Neodiprion lecontei: one gene and its partner. The protein of the gene in region 1 interacts with the protein of each later gene in a biochemical or structural test. Links are inferred from orthologs where the notes say so. Each region holds a gene or a part of one and is shown on either strand. Other genes may lie near its edges.

Region 1 (5,042 bases):
GAAGAGTGTAGTCATTATTTATTTATTTTTTATTTTTTCATATGTCTTTCTAGATAGTTCAAGTGGGGAGGTGAATTTCGTACGACGTACCAGTAGACGCCAGTTTCTCCCTCTTCTTTCCACCAGGAGAATTAATCCTGTTCAGACTTCGGTGCACGTATAATTGTTTCATCGATACTTGTACGATGTACGTAAATGTATGTATAAATAGGTACTAGTTTCGCACATCAACAAGCGACAAGGACGCCGTGAAGTAAAAGAAAATAAAAGAAACATACAACAATGACGCGATGTATACGTACAGTGATTAATCGGCGCGGCATTCACAGTTTATATATCCTGCAGGCATGCATCGTTGGTTGGTTGAGCAATAGTGTGTGTAAGTACGTAAGTTCTTAAAACACATAAGGAAACACGTGGTTCGATATCCGATGCGTGAATTTCTGCTATCTACTCAATTTGTCGCAATTCTCATTGCTGCGGTTGCGTGTTTTCTCCTTAATTTTCTTCTCTTTTGAACTTTAGAAAAAGAAAAAGAAAACGAGCGATGATTACGATGATTATGATGATTATACTCACCGCACTGACGATCGCAATCGCAACGATAAAAGCAAAGACATCGATACTAGCATTATTAATCTAGCAATAGTAGGAGTAACAACGATAACAACACACACAGAAAGAATAATGATTAAACACACCGAAATTGAAACTTTTCCTTCCTATCTTCGTGGTTCTATGCTGCTTCCTTTTCGTTATCTCTTTCGGTTTGTCGATTAACAAATTCGATCTTCCAGTTTTCCACTACAAAAACAAATCGCGTTTTCACGCCAATAATTTGTTGCATCGTTACGGCGTATAATCACTATTACTATTATAATTATTAGTCATTCGCGCGTTCCGTTGGTTCGTTATTTTATTTTATTTTACCTTCTAAATCTTCTCTTTAAGTAGATATAGAAATTCCTCGTTGTTGCGTTCACATTTGTTTCCCCTTTCGTCTATCTAGGTAACTATTACAGCGTAGTACTTTATACACCTCTTCATTTTTATTATTTATTTATTTTTTTATATATTTTCTTGTCAATTTTCAATTTTAATTATATAATATACTTGCTGTACTCTCCCAAAATTCTTTTTCACATTGTCCTATCTAACTACTACCTTTAAGTATTTAAATTGTTCGGGTTTCTTTGTAATCTCCTTTTACTTTTCTCCTCTTCACTTTCTTCTCATCTATTAAATACCTACTTCCTCCCTGTCACCTCGACGCAACGGCGGCGTTAACGATACGGATTTCTCCTACGTTCTAGATCAGGCACAGAGCAATTCGTATCTCATCTCGTACCACCTTGTACACCGTTCTCCGCTGGCCTGCGAAATAATGTTATCGAAACCCCCGACGTTGTTCCTGCACGGATGCTGATTGTTGTCTAAACTATCGCAAGGCATGGCGGTGGTGGCCGCCCCCGATCCCCCAGGCGTGAACCCAAAAAAAATCCCCCTCCCTCTATCTCGTCTTAAATTTTTTTCCTCGCTTCGTTGAGAATTCCTCGACGATTAAGCACCTCGTCGTTTTACACCGGTCTTATGACCACAGCCGCGATTAGGAGGAGGATAGATAACGGACGAGTCAAATATCTCCCTATCGCATGTTATCACTTCTCACGGTTATTCGAACTGCGCGCGGTGGCGGTTTGTCTTTTGTTTACCTCCTCACTTCACTTGTTTACAAGATCAAGGAACACTAGTTGCAGATCATCTTTTGTCCTACAGCATGCGCGCGCGTGTTGTGTCTCCGTATGTGTCGTATCCTCTATGGCAAAAGCGAGAACCATGAACTAAAAGAACCGTCGTGAGAAATACACTCTCTAACGGCGAGGGGGGTGGTAGGTTAGTAGTCACGCTAGACGAGAATGACGGTCGACTCACTGCTCACGTTCACCAACGTGCTCACTGACTCAAGGCTTCGCCGCCTCCGGTTCCTTATCCTTACTACTACGGGAGATCAGTTACTAATCCAGGTCGAGAGAGCGAGAGGTGTGCATACATGCAGGTACTGTACAAGTACACGCACAAGTAGTGTATAATTTATACGTAGAAGGCGAAACAACAAACGCGTATGCACAAAACACACACATACCACACGTAACAAACACGTAGAATAATATCACACTCACAAAAGAAAACACTCGAAGCCTATGTGCACTGTGCCGTCTCCTCCTCGATCTTCTGTTCTCTACTTTTCTCTACTCAACGACGCCACGGGCGCAACACGACTCGCCGTCTTTATTCATCAACTACTGTTGGTTATATTCTCCTCATTGTCCGTAGTCGTCGTTGTCAGCGGTATGCGCAGCACCACCTTAACACCCCGACTGGCTGGCTGGCTGGCTGGTTGGTTGGTTGGTTCTCCTCCTCGCGGAGGATACACGGGTTTATTTATTGTTTTCACCGCACACCACCGTCGGCCAGTTTTTCGGTCGCGCCCTGCTGCTGTCTTCTCCTATTCGACATCAGGATGGAAGCATAAGTGGAGAAGACACACGCTGCATCAACAGCAGCAGCAGCACGAAGAGCGGTGGTCGGCGCTACCAGATTAATAAAATGGCGACCAATGTGACAGTTGGTCGATCCTCTCGCGTAAATATATACCTATATATACATACAGGTAACGTACATACACAATATATATAGACAGAGATATTGGAGATGGATGAAACCTCTTCTGTTGAGGTGCGATTTGTTCACGTCGCTGCCGCCTTGTGTCGTCGATATCCCTCCACTGTGCGTGCCTTGTTCCTTTCCTTCTTTTGTTTTATATCTTTCTTTCGCGCGGATATCATCCGCTCGCTTTTATCTGTTTTACACTTATCCGCCAGAAAATTGTCACCGTCAGTTTTGACTTCTCCTATACTTCCGACCAACTTCGCGTTCCTCTGGATACGATTCTTTCCGTTACGTTCTACTGTCCAGGTTACCTTTCACCCGGATTTTCTCTCGCTACTAATTTTTCGGTACCGACGCGGACGGACGCACTTGCGCGACTCGTTTCGCTCCCCAGTCCCCTACAGCTACTGCCGCTACTCCCACCTTTGCGTACTATCCGTCTGAGAAAACACCGTCCACTCTCCCGACGACCCGGCCGCTCCTACTACCTAAAACAAGAAAACCGGTCCCACCCCGTCATGCGGGGGATGCTTCGGGGTTCGCTCCGTCGGTAACTACTAACCGTTTCCATAACGTCAGCGCGGCGACCCGGAAATTGCTACTATCCATTTCGTACAATATGCTCGATGCCCGGTATATACCAGGTGTCCTCGAGCAGCAGCTCTGTGCTTCGCAGGAAAAATTTTAAAAAATTTGACAATCACGCTAGTCGATGATTTATTTATATTATAATTGAACGATCTTGCTCTTGCGTCAAGTTTCGCAATGCAAATCGATCTCCGCAAACATCTTTGCAAGCGCTCCGGAAACGAGACTCATCGTTCCAGACCGATGTTGGTGTCCATGAGTTATTTACAATTTTCAATATGATCTCGGAGCCCTGATGAACTAAAATCAGAAACCATATTTTGTTTCGCGTATGACATTACCTCCAGCCATGAAGCTTGATCGTTCTTCGGTACGACTTCGAAGATTGGTGAGGTGTGGGAGGTCGCATTTGCTTTAAGAATTCAGAGTCACCCGGTATATTAGTAAATTCCTCCGTTGAGCAAGATTACTCAGAGGGCGCTAGTAGTCGGATACTTTGCGCAGCTACTATCCATCTTGTTGACGTCACTCTGATTGACTCGGAAGTCTGTACTAGCCGTATTGATAACACTGATCTTTGGCGTTATTCGCGGTTCTTTGCCACGGTACCTTATAGGGCATTTCGTTGCTCTGTCGGTAAAGAAGTACCGCCACTTTCTAAGTTTTTGAAGTAAAAAAGAATACTTCCAAAATACTTTGAGCTAGAAAAATTTCGTTGAGAATCCATATTTATTAAACCTATGACAGAACCTATTCTGATTCCAGTTATAGAAATTTAGCCGCGGTCTCTTCTTTATTCATATTTTTTTAGAAATACTCGAAACATTTTAAGCTGTAACTCAGTAGTAATCACATCCATAAACAAGTATTGGGCGTTTTCCGGATCAGCTTCTACGTTGGTCACTGTGGTTTCTTTGTAGAGCCAAGCTGATGCTCTACTTCCAGATTGCACTCTAATACGGACTATGGTACGTCCTGTTGCCCCTAGTATCGACTTATCGAGTTCATCCCGTAAACCGTCTATACCTGAGGATTCCAAAGGCAATGTTCAATACAACTCTGTACAACTCTGATTTCTGAAACTTTGGAAACAACTTACCTATTAGCTTAGTGGCTGACACACCAAGCATATTCAGTCGAGGTATATCTTCTGATATTCGGTCAATTTTATTTGCAACATTTATCACCACCTGGTCTTTAATCAAGCCTTTTAATGTTGCTTGCATGTGGTCCATCTGGGCCTGCCTGTCCGGATGACTTGCATCATGCACATTCAAGATAATGTCCTGGTAATAAAACATTCATCGGTCAAAAGAGCATGACTGACTGAAGACAAAAGAATAGAATGAGCGTAATCAAAAGCCAATTACAGCATTCATGGCGTCTTCTAAAGTTGCTACAAACGGCTCAATAAGAGTGGCAGGCACATCTTGAATGAAGCCAATAGTATCGACGAACAATACTTTCAGTCTTGAGGGTAGAGTGCCTTGATGGATGGTGACATCGAGAGTTGCAAAGAGGTAATTCCTAGGGTGCAGGCTTGAATCTCCAGTGAGAGCTTTGATCAAGGAAGTTTTCCCAGCGTTTGTGTAGCCGACAACAGCGATAGTGGGAATCTTATTTTGTAATCGTTTACTCCTCAGCAAATGTCTCTGTGCCTTAAGTTTAAGGAGGGCATTTTTAAGCTTGGTTTCGCGGACCTGAAGAAGCTTTCGATGTGATTCAAACGTACCCACGTGTTCTTCTCGGGTCTCTTTAACGACATTCAACTTCATCCACATGTA
Region 2 (5,098 bases), on another chromosome or scaffold:
TAACACACCAAGCCCGTTTGGGTCTAAAAATTCAGATTTACTTTTTTCATTTTTTCTAAGTAATAACAAATTAAAAATGAAAATCGAATCTATGTACCAACAAAACGTAGCCCTACCTGTATGTATTATTGTATATTACTGATCAGTGATTATATTTCCGTCCTATTCGCGACGAGTTCAACGAAAATTATGCGCAGAATGTGAGCGTCGATCTTGTCGCTTGCATGGGAGTAAAAAAAAAAAGAAAACGTTTATCAATTTTCAGAGTATACATATTATTTTTAAGAATTTGTGAAAAAAGGTCCAAGTGCCTTTAATATAATTATTCAATCAATCGATCAATCAATGGTCAACCCTGAGAAAATTAGCAACGGTTGAACGAAAAAAAAATATGTAGCCCGGACGCTTAAGATTGGCTGTTGAGCGCGTTCGTTCTCGCGTTGAGTATTTCGGGTGAGCTTTGATATATAAAATTATATTTTCTGCCTACGGAAAAGGTAAAAAGAATAAAAAAGCATTTCTGCTGAACACAATCTTTATCAAGTCATATATGAATTATAATCGTCGACGGCGAGACCCGTGAAAGATATCAACCGCGTAAACCTGTACGATATTATTCATTCGGTGCAACGAACGCTGATTCGTTCTGAACGTTTTATTTTTATTTTTATCCCTCTTTTGCATCTGAATGGCAATAGTTGGAATTGGCGCACTTTTTGCGACACGTGAGAAAAAACAGAAACGGCGATCAAAATACCATCGAATTATTGTACATATGTATATGTATGCAATGAAACGAGCGTTCGGCGTTGTATGGTACACATACCCATACTTCTAATTGAAATTATTATTATAATAATAACTATTATTGTACGATTAGTTAGGACTAGAGTTTTTTTTTTTTTTTTTTTTTTTACAGAGCACCTTCTTAAAGACGCAAGAAAAAGCAAAAAAATAAATAAAATAATATATATATATATATATATATATGTGTATATATATGTATATATATAAATAACTAATCGATTATACATGTATACATAATACAATATTATGTAGGTAAATTATTATGTTACTATTTACTGTTATTAAAATAATATGGTGACGTTTTAAGTATAGAAAACACGCGAATTGGAGCATAATTAACTTGCTATACCATAACCGACTTTAAGTTTAGATATATGTATACATATGGTATATGTATATACATACTATAAATATCGTTCTTGTATAATATTGTACGAAGGAATGAAGCATACTTGAATAAACTTTACTGAGAAGAGAAGAACGGTGTACAATGGGTACGTATCTCGCTGATTATCCACAATGTTGTTAAACGCGAGAGGATACACACTTGGTACAATTATCTAAAATCGTCCAAATTTTCTTGTTACAGATTTGAATATTGGCGCCCTGCGGCAAAGCTAGTTCACTACTTCCCGGCAAGATGGCGGCACGTTCGGTGTGCACGAAGCGCCGAGGGTATAGCGGCGATGCGCAGAATCAACTTTTAAGGGCTTTCGCCCTACGTCCGTTAGATAGCGCGGGCCCCGAGGCACATCCGCAGAATCAAAAAAGACAGCTGGGAAATGTAACATCACGCATCGATTTGGTCGGCAGCCCTTCTCGCGTCGTCTGAAAAGTTCCTCCGTTCCGTCTATCTCCTCGACCGTGGTATTTATTTTGTAATTAAATAGTGAACGATAAGCAACGGAGGAGTGGGAATTTCGAATCGTGAATAGTGAGAAGGTGATTCCAGTATCGTTGTTACTAACTCGGGGTGAAAATATAAGTGGTGCGTAAAGGTGGTCAGAGACCCGGGGGCTAAAGCGATATATTCGTTTATTGGTCATGCCGTTCCTCTCGTGACAGCAGCGGCAGCCCCTCACCCCCTACCGACCCACCACGGTTCGTCGACCATTCCGGCGACCCCCGTCCCCTCCTCGCCCTGCCTCCCTTTTCTTGCCTCTCCGCCACCCCCTCCCCGCCTGACCCCCTTGTCTTCGTCGTCGTTGGGTCGCGGTTTTCTTCCCAACCCCCGGTTTACTACGACACGATGTGATTCACGTCTTGGAATTTTTCGTCGAAGAGAACAGAAGGTCTTCGTCATTCGTGCACGGCGCTGCACGCTGTGAATAAGGGAGAGTGAGAGAAAGAGAGAGGGAGGAGCGAGAGAAAGAACGGAAGAAAGAAAAGAACGACGGAAAGAGTGGCTCGCCCTTGGATGTTTTTGTTAGGACCCTTGGATATCTCTGCTGCATTGCGGTAAGTCTGGATACTGTTTCCCTTTTTCAAACCTCCGCCTACATCTATATGTGTACCCATGCCGCTATGTCGTCTCTCCTCCCTTCTCCTCCTTTCTCCTCCTTTCTCTCGCTTTCGTCTACTCCGCGTCTGGTTATCTTATTCAAACGCGATACTCTTTCTTCCCCCTCCCCTCCCCGCCCCTCTCCTCTTTCCCTCATGTTATCGCCGTAGGTCTCTCCGTGAAAATCGAATGATACGTATGCAAGTAGTCGCGGTATCGGGGTCGTGGTCGTCTGCATGTTGAAACGGGCGAATCGCGAGTCGCGACAGAGAGAACGAAACATTGACCCGAGGAACGGGGAGCATCGATGCGATGCAATGCGATGTCGTTAGAGCCGCGAATCTATGCGGGTCACATTCTGACCGCGCTTAACGCACCGCGACGTCGTTATGCAGGCGGTGGTACTTAATTTTTTCTTTGTGCCTATGCGCGTGAGGAGAGGAAGCGGGAGACGTGTAGAGGGAGATGTAGAGATGGGGAGAGGAAAGGATCATCGTCGCCGAGAGGAAGCGAGAGATAGATAATAAACGGCGGAGCATGAAGAGAACTGAGAATACTGAGATCCTCCGGTCTTCCGGCAACCTACCTACCTCATGCCTTGTACCTTGTACCTTCTATGTAGCCTTTGTTGGCACGTATAGTCTCTTTCTCGTCGTATATGTACAATTTTTCTCTCCGTGAAATACCCGCATCGATTTTGCCAAGAGACCGCGAGAGATAGAGCAAAAAAGAAAGAGAGAGAGACAGAGAGAGAGAGAGAGAGAGAGAGAGAAAGAAGCATTTATTCGCCCTGGGACAAGTCCCCTCAGGCGGTATGTAGAAAATACGTATGAACATAAAATGAAAATAAAATCAATATGTAACAAAATTAAAACTAAAGTTGGAAAAGGATGTAACAAAAGAAGGGAGAGAGAGAGAGAGAGAGAGAAGAGAGAGTGCTGCAGGCGCCTGGAGGGCTGAGAATTAATGCAGTTACGTAAACTCGTGCATTATACCTACTACGTACATGCATAATACGTATATGTACGCGATCTTGTTACGACGGGTACAAATGACAAATTTGTTTAACGCGCGGGGATAAGTCCGTACGTGTCGTGGAGAGGCGAATAATGAGCGAGCGTTCGATGAACTCGGCGTGAGTTAAGTACAAAGATTCGCAAGATTCACGTGATTCGCAACGAGGAGGACGACGAGTCGATTCGCTCCTCCTCGACCAGCTGCGCCAGTTTCTGCTTCTCCTCCCTCTCGCTCCAGCATATCGAATATAGGTGTCTACTACGCATGCAGGCAGGCTCTCCTTCTCCTCTCGCGTTCTTCGTTGCTGCGGTATATGTGTGTGTGTATATATATGTATAGTAGTGTATATGTATATAGTATATATGCACGCATGTAACGTAACGCGAATTCACCATGGCACGCGCACACTCGGCGAAGAGACGATGTTGAGTTTTACCCCGAGAGGTTAATCGCGTTTATTATCCTCTTGACAGTAAGAAACTGTTGACTACCGATGCATGTTGCCGTCACTATGTCGCCGGTGTCTATATGTATGTATGCACGTACGGTATCGCGGTGATACGATTAATTACTTTGCGCGTGACTCTTACCCTCGGCAGTCGTCGTCGTCGTTGTGGCACCGGGACGACGACGACAGTTCGTTTCGTATTACCGCAAGTAGAGTAGAAACCTCGCTTATCCAACCTTCGATTACAGCCGATGTTCCGCATTGACCGGTGCATATCTTGTTTGGATAATACGGAGAACATTGGATAAAATGGAATAATTCGTTATGTCTATGTCGTACACCTATGTGTACCAAATAGTTTTGTGGCTCTACTTTGTTTGAACACGCGTGAGCTTGCAAAAGTTTTGTTGCGAGTTTATACAAACGCGACAGCTCCGATTCTGGAATCAAGGGTAGAACATCGTGATTGCTTGGATTGTACGTACGTTTTCCGTATTATTCGAGTTATCATCTCCCCGTATTACCCTCGGACAAACGAGGTCCTACTGTAGAACGAAGTGCAGCGTTATGCATCGGACTGCTCGTGTATTGTGCGAATCGCGTGTCTAGCAATAAGCGTAAAATAGCTTGAGACCGAATCCGTATCATGTTGGAGTTAGTTGGCAACGTTATCGTCACGATTCATCCTGCAATGAGGAGAAATTGTTAGTTTGCGATTTGCGCATTGTTTGAAATTCAGTAAAACATAATAAAACAAAACATATTCGTGTTTTCTGATCTCACTCTCTTCAAGATCGTTGTAAAAATAAGAAAATAGTGATGTTTTTCCCGATGTTTCGTTACGATAACGTTGCTAACTTGAACCTCGTGAATCCGCGGTGTGACCCCGTCCCGGAAATGTGAAGAAAGTTGGTTCGCGTTAGGGTAGTTCATTTTATAACTTTTTTTTTTAAGCTGCACTTCGAAAAATTTTTGACAAATACTGACCAAAAAAGTTGTCGTAAAACCTGGAGGAGGTAGAAAAATATTCTGTGTCGCTACCAATTATTGTTATATTTTTTTTATTATTACGTGTACACCCCACGGACTTACATACATATATATATATATATATATATATATATATATATATATATATATATATATATACGAAAACGACCACTATTGTGGTCCAATTATTCATTGTTCATAAATGCCAGTACCGAAATCGAAACAGGGACATTAAGGCGATGCGATACTACTATTTCGGTAGCAAAAACTGACATCCAAATGTCTCCGATTAATAATCTGTCCGATAAAGGACGAGAACAGCCAACCGCGGAATC

Evidence for each region.
Region 2: the proteins of plexin-A4 (region 1) and semaphorin-1A form a complex in vitro, tested with the Drosophila melanogaster proteins (2 studies listed by BioGRID). The link is inferred for Neodiprion lecontei from reciprocal best matches to the Drosophila melanogaster genes PlexA and Sema1a.

Annotation. Positions count from the first base shown.
Region 1 is NC_060264.1:32,243,522-32,248,563, reverse strand, and holds the start of plexin-A4, read right to left. Parts: upstream 3,107-5,042; 5' UTR 2,181-3,106; exon of another isoform or gene 702-2,180; intron 1-701. Other genes in the region: putative GTP-binding protein 6, read right to left, coding at 4,052-4,284, 4,358-4,544, 4,629-5,042.
Region 2 is NC_060266.1:25,992,271-25,997,368, forward strand, and holds the start of semaphorin-1A, read left to right. Parts: upstream 1-2,090; 5' UTR 2,091-2,265; intron 2,266-5,098. UniProt on the Drosophila melanogaster protein: Involved in growth cone guidance through its role in axonal repulsion. Function in neurons is essential for adult survival, motor neuron survival, and is important for climbing behavior and activity.